Linked DNA regions of Arabidopsis thaliana. The protein of the gene in region 1 interacts with the protein of each later gene in a biochemical or structural test. Each region holds a gene or a part of one and is shown in the gene's direction. Other genes may lie near its edges.

Region 1 (5,794 bases):
GTGTTGGTTCAGGGATTGTATAATTGCAACATGCTTGACGATGCTGTTGCTTTCTGTAGTGAGATGCTTGAGTCTGGTCACTCTCCTAACGTCCCCACTTTCGTTGAATTGGTTGATGCCTTGTGCAGAGTAAAGGGGGTTGAACAAGCCCAGTCCGCTATTGATACCTTAAACCAAAAAGGATTTGCCGTTAATGTTAAGGCTGTCAAGGAGTTCATGGATAAAAGGGCTCCATTTCCGTCTTTGGCTTGGGAAGCCATCTTCAAGAAGAAACCAACCGAGAAACCCTTCTGATTTACTTACGCAGTGCTGTTAAGTATGCCGTCTCAGTAAGATGTTTTCTTGACTTGTAATAACAACCTTGAAAGTGAAAATCAATATGAGTCTTCCTTTTTCTGCTTGGAGTCAGGTATCGAGTTTTTTTTTTTTTCCTATGTCCTTTAAAAATGTGTAGTTGTAGATGTAGTTCCCTGTTTTCATGCATTCTAATATTGATTGCAAGTTCAATGAATAGCGTTGTGTTGGCGGTATAGGGTGTCAAATTATGCTTGACGCTTATCAGTCATTACCAATGATGTATGTGACTGTCTATTGCAAATGTGGCCGACTTCATGAACAAATATGAACAATAGTATCATTGGTTACATACACCAGGCATAAAACTACATCATCCTCCAAAGGCACTGCTGATCTCAGGGACGTGGAGGTCTGTTCTGTAGAAGCTGGCGCTATATTGAATACAAAATGCGTGGAGTCAACATTAAAATAGTTTTTATGATTCACTCGGAGATCTTTACTTGATTTGGTCGGCTGTATTATATTCGTGAACTCGGAAGTCAAGGCCTGTCTTGATGGAAGAATGACTCCTTACTTTTAATATATATATAAATAATACACTGGATATGAATGCCATCTTTTGTTTGTTTACTTTTGGCGTCATGTGATTCTTGTATTGTTTACTATTGTTAAATGCAAGTATCAGGTAGTGCTTAAGATGGAAGCATGTGCATCTCGTATGTTGACCATAACCTCTCCAAGAGTTTTCTTGGAGTTGGGAGAATCGCTGACTTGATTAAAGAAAAACAACAAAAGAATATAATAAGAGATGGGAGGTGGGGTCGGCGCCGTCCCTACTCGATGATATTAGTCTATAAAAGAGAGGGAAGGAATGAGGTAAAGAAGCAGAAAGCTGGAGAAAGATGATTTCAATGTTGTTTCCGCGGTCGCCTTTGTGCACAGCAGCCATAGTATTCTACACATGTGTGTGCATTCCCTTGGGGAGGTTGAAGAAGAATGGTGGAGATGCGGATGCGCATGATGATGACGGTTACAACCTAGTGGGAGTGATGTTTGGGGACAAGGAAAAGGAGGAGGAAATTTGCTGCCCCATATGCCTGGTGGAGTTTGAGGCTGAGGATGCGGTGACCCATCTTCCCAGATGCGCTCATCTCTTCCATATCAATTGCATAGAACCTTGGCTTCTCCGTGGCCACCTCACTTGCCCTCTCTGCAGATCATTTGTATTGGCTCCAACTCCTCCTACACAAAATGTCAATAATGCACACTCCTCTTCCACCTTGTATCTCTCTATCTTCTTCTTTTTCTGTATCTTTCTCCATCTACTTGGATACTTGTAGCCTAGCTTCCTTGTTAACACACCCATTCTTTATTTAACATGTATTTTGTCTTAGTTTCCAAGCACATATTGTCTCCATCTCCTTTTCAATCAAGATTTTGTGGATTACTCAGTTTTATGATATACTGTACTAAACAGAGACAAAAGCAGCACGAGTTTAGTTTTACCAGCCTTGCCTAGTGCCTACTGCTGCTCTAGTGCTCTGTTTCCTAATTGATTTGTTACTCTGCGTAAGACCATTAAGTAAACGGGCTAAAGGCAACTTAATAGGCCTTATTTTTAAAACACATTAAAAGTGGGCCTCATTTTAAACCATAACAGATTAAAAGTGGGCCTTTCCATTATAAACTGAAAGTAGAAAAAGTTGGAAGAGAAGAGTAAGTAGGCTACAGTTTCAGTCAGAGGTGAAAGAAAATCTGAAAGCAAAGCAGAGAGCAGCTCCCTTCCCCTCGGCGAGGAGGAAGGAAGAAGAAAGCCAGAGAGAGAGAGAGAGATCATCGCAGCTTCTCCTCCGACCATTTGACTGCGACTGTGATTACAACACACCGTTGATCCTACGAAAAAGGTCAGTCAGACTCTCTTCCTTGTCTGCGTGATTCCATTTTCCGGCGTCTGTCTAGCCTCGCCGTCTTTTAATATCTTTCACTCGCCTTCCTGTCTCTTCTGCACACTAGATTTGATTTTTTCGTAACTTAAAAAAATGTTGTTGTTGTCATTCAAACGCGTCCATGGCTCAGCTACTCCGCGGCTAGGGTTTAGTTATCATTTTTTAATAATATAATTTTTATGGATCGGCGTGCGTGCAGAGGTAATGGATACTGGCGGCAATTCGCTGGCGTCCGGACCTGATGGTGTGAAGAGGAAAGTTTGTTATTTCTATGACCCTGAGGTCGGCAATTACTACTATGGCCAAGGTCATCCCATGAAGCCCCATCGCATCCGCATGACCCATGCCCTCCTCGCTCACTACGGTCTCCTTCAGCATATGCAGGTTCTCAAGCCCTTCCCTGCCCGCGACCGTGATCTCTGCCGCTTCCACGCCGACGACTATGTCTCTTTTCTCCGCAGCATTACCCCTGAAACCCAGCAAGATCAGATTCGCCAACTTAAGCGCTTCAATGTTGGTGAAGACTGTCCCGTCTTTGACGGCCTTTATTCCTTTTGCCAGACCTATGCTGGAGGATCTGTTGGTGGCTCTGTCAAGCTTAACCACGGCCTCTGCGATATTGCCATCAACTGGGCTGGTGGTCTCCATCACGCTAAGAAGTGCGAGGCCTCTGGCTTCTGTTACGTCAATGATATCGTCTTAGCTATCCTAGAGCTCCTTAAGCAGCATGAGGTTTGTCCACCTGCACCGTTTTGATATATGCTAGGGATGGTTATGTCGTTTCTGAATCTCTAACTCTTCCTCTCTCGTTTGCAGCGTGTTCTTTATGTCGATATTGATATCCACCACGGGGATGGAGTGGAGGAGGCATTTTATGCTACTGACAGGGTTATGACTGTCTCGTTTCATAAATTTGGTGATTACTTTCCCGGTACAGGTCACATTCAGGATATAGGTTATGGTAGCGGAAAGTACTATTCTCTCAATGTACCACTGGATGATGGAATCGATGATGAGAGCTATCATCTGTTATTCAAGCCCATCATGGGGAAAGTTATGGAAATTTTCCGACCAGGGGCTGTGGTATTGCAATGTGGTGCTGATTCATTGTCTGGTGATAGGTTGGGGTGCTTTAATCTTTCAATCAAAGGTCATGCTGAGTGCGTCAAATTTATGAGATCGTTCAATGTTCCCCTACTGCTCTTGGGTGGTGGTGGTTACACTATCCGCAATGTTGCCCGTTGCTGGTGCTACGAGGTACTTTCTTCTGTTCATTTTATGCTGCTCTAGCTTTGCATTGAAATTTCCTTGGTCTCTGTACCAAGGTTAGCCCTCTGTGACGCCTCTCTTTCTTTGAATTTATTACAACAAACTGTTTATATGACAGACTGGAGTTGCACTTGGAGTTGAAGTTGAAGACAAGATGCCGGAGCATGAATATTATGAATACTTTGGTCCAGACTATACACTTCACGTTGCTCCAAGTAACATGGAAAATAAGAATTCTCGTCAGATGCTTGAAGAGATTCGCAATGACCTTCTCCACAATCTCTCTAAGCTTCAGCATGCTCCAAGTGTACCATTTCAGGAAAGACCACCTGATACAGAGACTCCCGAGGTATGCCACTTGAGCAAATCATTTGAAGTGTGTTGGCTCCTTTATTTCTGTTGCCCATTCTTTCTTGCATTTCCTCATGGGTTTTGGTGAGCTTATCTAAGTGTAACTGCAGTTACAATAAGAATTTTCTAATTTAAACAGCTGGGCTGGTAAATAATGTTCGTCCAGTTAGATATGTATAAGTATTCCTTGATTGATGACTCTGGTTGTTACCAATCTTAGTTTTGTAAAATATGCCTTCTATGTAAATTATAGGTTGATGAAGACCAAGAAGATGGGGATAAAAGATGGGATCCGGATTCAGACATGGATGTTGATGATGACCGGTATGAAATATATATGTTTCCTCCCCTTTTTATTTTTGGTTCGAGTCAGCGGTGTAATGTTTACTTAATGTGGGATCGCATTGTGCAGTAAACCTATACCAAGCAGAGTAAAAAGAGAAGCTGTTGAACCAGATACAAAGGACAAGGTACTACAGCATTATCTCTTAATTGTTTCGATTTCTCAGACACTTTTTCTGGTACAAACATTTGAAGTCATTAGTTCATCTAGGTTTACAGCATTTTCCAGAACAGCACAATGTGCTCTGATAACATTACACTTTTTCTCATCCCGAGACCCAAAACCTAAAGATTCCAGAATGAGTCTCATTCTGACATTAAGTCAGTTAGTTTAAGCTGGAGATACATTCACATGAGGGTAGCGAATCTTTAGCTACGGTTAAATCATTTAGCCTAGGCTATTTATTTAGTATGCTCCCAGCTCCAACAATTGACCTGATTAGATAGTGTGACCGTCTAGCCAAGCTGAGCTGAATCATCTCTGCCTCTCAATTCCTAAAGCCGTCTCCTTTTCTTCCGAGATTAATTTATTTATCATGGCATGTTGTTCGTGCAGGATGGACTGAAAGGAATTATGGAGCGTGGAAAAGGTTGTGAGGTGGAGGTGGATGAGAGTGGAAGCACTAAGGTAAAATGAAGCAGTGGACAGGGCTGAAAAGGGTGGGAATGGTGGTTTTCTAAAGTGGTTAGTTTTGATTGCAGGTTACAGGAGTAAACCCAGTGGGAGTGGAGGAAGCAAGTGTGAAAATGGAAGAGGAAGGAACAAACAAGGGTGGGGCGGAGCAGGCGTTTCCTCCTAAAACATAAGACTCGGAGCTTCTAATTTCTTGCTACTTTTTCTGTCTATCAAATGTTGCTAGTTAAGTTTCTGGAGTTGTTGTTGTTGTAAGCACTCCTCTGTTTTAGAGGATTGAGCACGGATATGTATTTATTCGTTGCATGTCTGAATGATGATATGATATGACAAGACGAGCTATTCCTTTTGCTATATATTTATTGATTGGGCCGAAGAGATCTGCGTCTGCCCACCCCAAAAAAATAAAGAATTGATGTGCTAAACGCAGCAATGAACATCATCAACTAGTGAAGTGGGTGGAGAAGATGTTTTCCTGTAACACAATTGATTTCTAACTCTAAATTAAAAAAATGTAAATCCCTTTAAGACTATTAAGCGTCTCTCTGTCTGTCTCTCGTCGTTCTCGTTTTTGATTGCTTAGTTTTTTCCCGGGAGACTGAAACATGTTCACGGCGGCAGCTTCGTCAAGCGTGGGAAGGTGGCGGACGGCGTTTCTCTCTCTCAGGGACGAAATCTCAACCACTCCACCGCCGCCGGTTCCTCTGTTGCTCGAGGATCTACTCTTCTCTCAATCCCATTCCCTTATCTCTGCCGTCTCTCACCTCCCACTGCACGAGCTCACTTCCGATTGCTTGTTCCTGCTCGATTTGGTTTCCAAAGCTGATGGTCCTGACTGGATCCCTGTCTCTCGTCATACTTGTCAACTGGTGCGTCTTCTCCTTCTCTCCTCCCATCATTTCCTTGTTATTAATGGGATCTCTCCTCCTTTTTATTAATCCAGATTCACGATGTT
Region 2 (4,447 bases), on another chromosome or scaffold:
AATAAAGTCGAAAACAAGAAAGTAATGAGAAGTACTGGCAGTGTCAAACACTTTTTGAGATGTCTTGTCCGGAGAATGTTACATTGGTGGGGTGAGAACAAGAACTGAAGAAGCTTACATATTTTGGGAAATTTGACAATTTTGACATATTTTAAGGTAATCATTTTGAGTGGTGAACTTTTGTGAAAAATCACTCGTTGGTGACCAAAAATATTCCCCATCGTGACGTGAAAGCCACCCTTCTGAACTTCAGGCATATCTCTGAACTGAGTCAATGTTTTAAGTAATTTAATTTACCATTAAATGAATCCTTCACGCGTGTCAGCGGCTGCACGTGCGAGTGTGAGCTGGTCCTCGCTGGATTGTCTTGTTACGTGAAGGCATCGCAACCGACGGGGACAAACATCCAACGGCGTCTGACGCGCCTGTTATCTTCTCTTTCCTCCACTTCCTGTCTCTTTAGTTTTCCCCCAAGCTTACGCGATTTACGAGCTTGAATCTGCCTTATCGACCCAACATACACAATTAATCTCCGAATATTATACTATGCTCCTAGAGTCCTAGTAGTAGAAACTTACTTTATGCTAAAAAGCCACAAGCAAAATAAAGGAATCGGCTGAAAATAAAGGAATTTAAGCCAGTTCTTCTTGAAATGTTTAATTGGTAACTTTCAAACTGGTGCAACAGCTTTCATAATAATTTTAAGGAGTTGAAAATTTAACGTTTCCACATTCTTTTAGTTGAGTTAGACAATGAATAAAAATTCAATCTGATGTTGATGGTGTATTTTATAATTAACGACCAATTGATGTTGTGTAAACACAATCATTAATATACTACTTCGTATACACAATTTTCACTTTGATGACTAAAACCATGTGATAGTAGAATCGTTAAAATAAAAGAAATTTGTGATTTTTAAATAAATTTAAGTACACAGAGACTATATACATTAAAATTTGATTTAGTAAAACAACAGTATCCATATTCCACAATATATAATAGGCACAGTACTATGTGTATAATTTTTTTTCTAAAAAAAGCACAGTATGTGTATATATAATATATATATATATATACATATACAATTAAGTGGTTCTGATAGATTTTAAGTGAAATATTTAAAACAAGTTCTGTCATTATCCAACCACAATAACGTCTCTTCTTCATAATTTCAGCTTCTTTTCTCCAATTCAACTCTTTATTATTTGTCACTAACTTTTATGCACTTTAATTAATCTTAACGTACACATGTAGTATATTATTAAAAGTATTTTTGTTCATAAAAACAATTGTATGATGTGAGAACAAGAAAATAATTAAATTTGTTCTGCAAACAACCCCCAACGAATCCTCTAAAGTCTAATGTATGCATCATGCAATCGGGATTCATAATGGTCGTAAAAAATTTCTTCTTTCAACGCAAATCGAAGTTTATGATACGTAAACGCAAAATTAATACTGATACTCCTCAACACAGTATACTTTTATTTTATCACTAAGTGACGTTTAAAAGTTTAAACGAACTATAGATAAGCTGTAAGGTTTATCCTACCCACTTTATTTGTACTGTAGAGTTTAACTTTTTCTGTTGCTCTATAAGTTTTTGAATGTGTAAATTGTTTTTTTTTTTTTTTTTTATGTTCTACCGTTACATCGAGAAACATAATATAATGAAAAGACTCGTGACTGTTTGCTAAAAAAATAAGACTCGTGAATTGATAAAATGTAATTAAAAGACCGTACATTAAGGCATGTACCACCTACAAAATCATGCATATATGCATCAGTTTCATCATGAGCTTCATTTTTTTTTAATTAGTATCCTTTGATCAGATTTAATATAAGACTCGTGCGCTTCAATTTGTGTGTCCATTATAATGTTTGATATAATCTCACGCATCCATGGACTATCTAGTAAACCTCATCCAATATTTTCATAGACTAAAAAAGAAAAAAACCTTATACTTCAAATTTTCAATTAAAGGGAGACGAAACACAACTGAAAATTATTACACAACTAACAAAGAGAAATATTTTTAAAGAAAAAAATTGTAGAGCCCACAAAGTGATGCAGTAGGTAGGACCCACACACCGCCCATGCGGCACGCTGTCTATCTAAACCAAAACTAACCCATTCATCATTCATCTTAACCTTAACCTCCTCCTCCTCTCTGACCTAACCCTAAACCCATCTCTCTCTCCTTCTTCTTACAAGCTTCATCTACATGTATTACTAGTGCAGCTCCAGTTTCGTCTTACATGTATATGACTTTTGTATTACCCTTCTCTTAATTTCTCTACTTCAGATTTTTTTCTCCTTAGATTAATTTAATTGAGTTATTGTACATCCCTCAAGCTAAGATTCTGGTTTTGTGAGTTGAGTGGATGAGAAGAGGAGAGATTAACTAAATTAGGGTTTCAATTGTTTACTTTTTGTTTGCTTTTTATATCAAGTAATGGATCAGGTCTCTCGCTCTCTTCCTCCACCTTTTCTCTCAAGAGATCTCCATCTTCACCCACACCATCAATTCCAGCATCAGCAGCAGCAGCAGCAACAGAATCACGGCCACGATATAGACCAGCACCGAATCGGTGGGCTAAAACGTGACCGAGATGCTGATATCGATCCCAACGAGCACTCTTCAGCCGGAAAAGATCAAAGTACTCCTGGCTCCGGTGGAGAAAGCGGCGGCGGAGGAGGAGGAGATAATCACATCACGAGAAGGCCACGTGGCAGACCAGCGGGATCTAAGAACAAACCAAAACCGCCAATCATCATCACTCGAGACAGCGCAAACGCTCTCAAATCTCATGTCATGGAAGTAGCAAACGGATGTGACGTCATGGAAAGTGTCACCGTCTTCGCTCGCCGTCGCCAACGTGGCATCTGCGTTTTGAGCGGAAACGGCGCCGTTACCAACGTTACCATAAGACAACCAGCTTCAGTACCTGGTGGTGGCTCATCTGTCGTTAACTTACACGGACGTTTCGAGATTCTTTCTCTCTCGGGATCATTCCTTCCTCCTCCGGCTCCACCAGCTGCGTCAGGTCTAACGATTTACTTAGCCGGTGGTCAGGGACAGGTTGTTGGAGGAAGCGTGGTTGGTCCACTCATGGCTTCAGGACCTGTAGTGATTATGGCAGCTTCGTTTGGAAACGCTGCGTATGAGAGACTGCCGTTGGAGGAAGACGATCAAGAAGAGCAAACAGCTGGAGCGGTTGCTAATAATATCGATGGAAACGCAACAATGGGTGGTGGAACGCAAACGCAAACTCAGACGCAGCAGCAACAGCAACAACAGTTGATGCAAGATCCGACGTCGTTTATACAAGGGTTGCCTCCGAATCTTATGAATTCTGTTCAATTGCCAGCTGAAGCTTATTGGGGAACTCCGAGACCATCTTTCTAAATCGCGAAGAAAAAACAAGTTAGATACGTTCGTTGTTTTTAATTTATAATCTCTCTTCTGTCAAGTTTTAATTTTCTTTTTCTTCTTCTTTGTTTTCTAAAGATAATTGTAGTCTTTGACGAAGATTCGTGGTACGTATGAATCGAAGAGAATCGTTTTGGTCATGGGATTGATCGATCTATTAGGTTTGAGAGGGGGTTTGTGTTTTGCGTTGACTAGCAGATTATAAAATTGTTGATTTTCGAGTTTTTATTTTCATGTGTTGGTGATAATTAGCTTTGTGTCTATCTATGTATGTTGAATTCTAGTGCATAGTTATTATATCGTTGAAAGGTTGTGATTAAGGTTAAACAGGTCACTAACAATGTCAAATTGTTATGTTCTTCCGTTAGATTTTGGGTAATAGGTCAAATGAATTTCTTCAAGTCCGTTACTGCTGATTAATCAAACTCTAAACTCATTTTCCAAAATCACGTTGTTTGTACTTTTTTCTGTTCAAAGAGTTAACAACGGTTATTTTTATTTTAAAGTTTAAACGGCTGTAGATATTTATAATTTAACTTAAGTTGGAAGACATAAGAAAAAAAAAGATGATTGTTCCGAGGTTGGTTAGAAGATGGTGAGGCAAGAGGCATAATGACAAGAACAAGACTTGGGAACAAGGTGATTGCATTTGGCAGATACTTTACATTTACACGAAAATCTTTGTATAAACATCCAAATATTAAAATCTAAACTAATTTTCATAATCACTTTTTGGTTATTGAAAAAGGTATTGACTAGGAATTAGATTCTAGAACTTGGAACAAGAGAATGATATATGATTGTATAATTGACTAACTCACTTGATCAAGTTGCATATATAGACATGGATTTGATGGAAGTATGTATACATATAGAAATTGTGTGAGCAGGGTTTTGTAAGTGAGAGATGAGAAAGCAATTAAGGTTGGGGAAGAGAAGAGCATTGGATGATGCACCGACGCACGTGCATGTCTCTGAGAGAGAAAGAAGAAAAGTTCCTTTACGAGGCG

Evidence for each region.
Region 2: the proteins of HD1 (region 1) and AHL22 form a complex in vitro, tested with the Arabidopsis thaliana proteins (one study listed by BioGRID).

What each region holds. Positions count from the first base shown.
Region 1 is NC_003075.7:17,895,711-17,901,504, reverse strand, and holds HD1 (histone deacetylase 1), read left to right. Parts: upstream 1-1,995; 5' UTR 1,996-2,201; intron 2,202-2,442; 5' UTR 2,443-2,447; coding exon 2,448-2,975; intron 2,976-3,059; coding exon 3,060-3,500; intron 3,501-3,630; coding exon 3,631-3,861; intron 3,862-4,116; coding exon 4,117-4,187; intron 4,188-4,275; coding exon 4,276-4,333; intron 4,334-4,761; coding exon 4,762-4,833; coding exon of another isoform or gene 4,834-4,842; exon of another isoform or gene 4,843-4,907; coding exon 4,908-5,012; 3' UTR 5,013-5,227; downstream 5,228-5,794. Other genes in the region: AT4G38150 (Pentatricopeptide repeat (PPR) superfamily protein), read left to right, coding at 1-294; AT4G38140 (RING/U-box superfamily protein), read left to right, coding at 1,200-1,637; AT4G38120 (ARM repeat superfamily protein), read left to right, coding at 5,445-5,708, 5,783-5,794. UniProt on the Arabidopsis thaliana protein: Responsible for the deacetylation of lysine residues on the N-terminal part of the core histones (H2A, H2B, H3 and H4).
Region 2 is NC_003071.7:18,725,389-18,729,835, forward strand, and holds AHL22 (AT-hook motif nuclear-localized protein 22), read left to right. Parts: upstream 1-2,115; 5' UTR 2,116-2,459; coding exon 2,460-3,413; 3' UTR 3,414-3,884; downstream 3,885-4,447. UniProt on the Arabidopsis thaliana protein: Transcription factor that specifically binds AT-rich DNA sequences related to the nuclear matrix attachment regions (MARs). Binds an AT-rich DNA sequences in the FLOWERING LOCUS T (FT) promoter.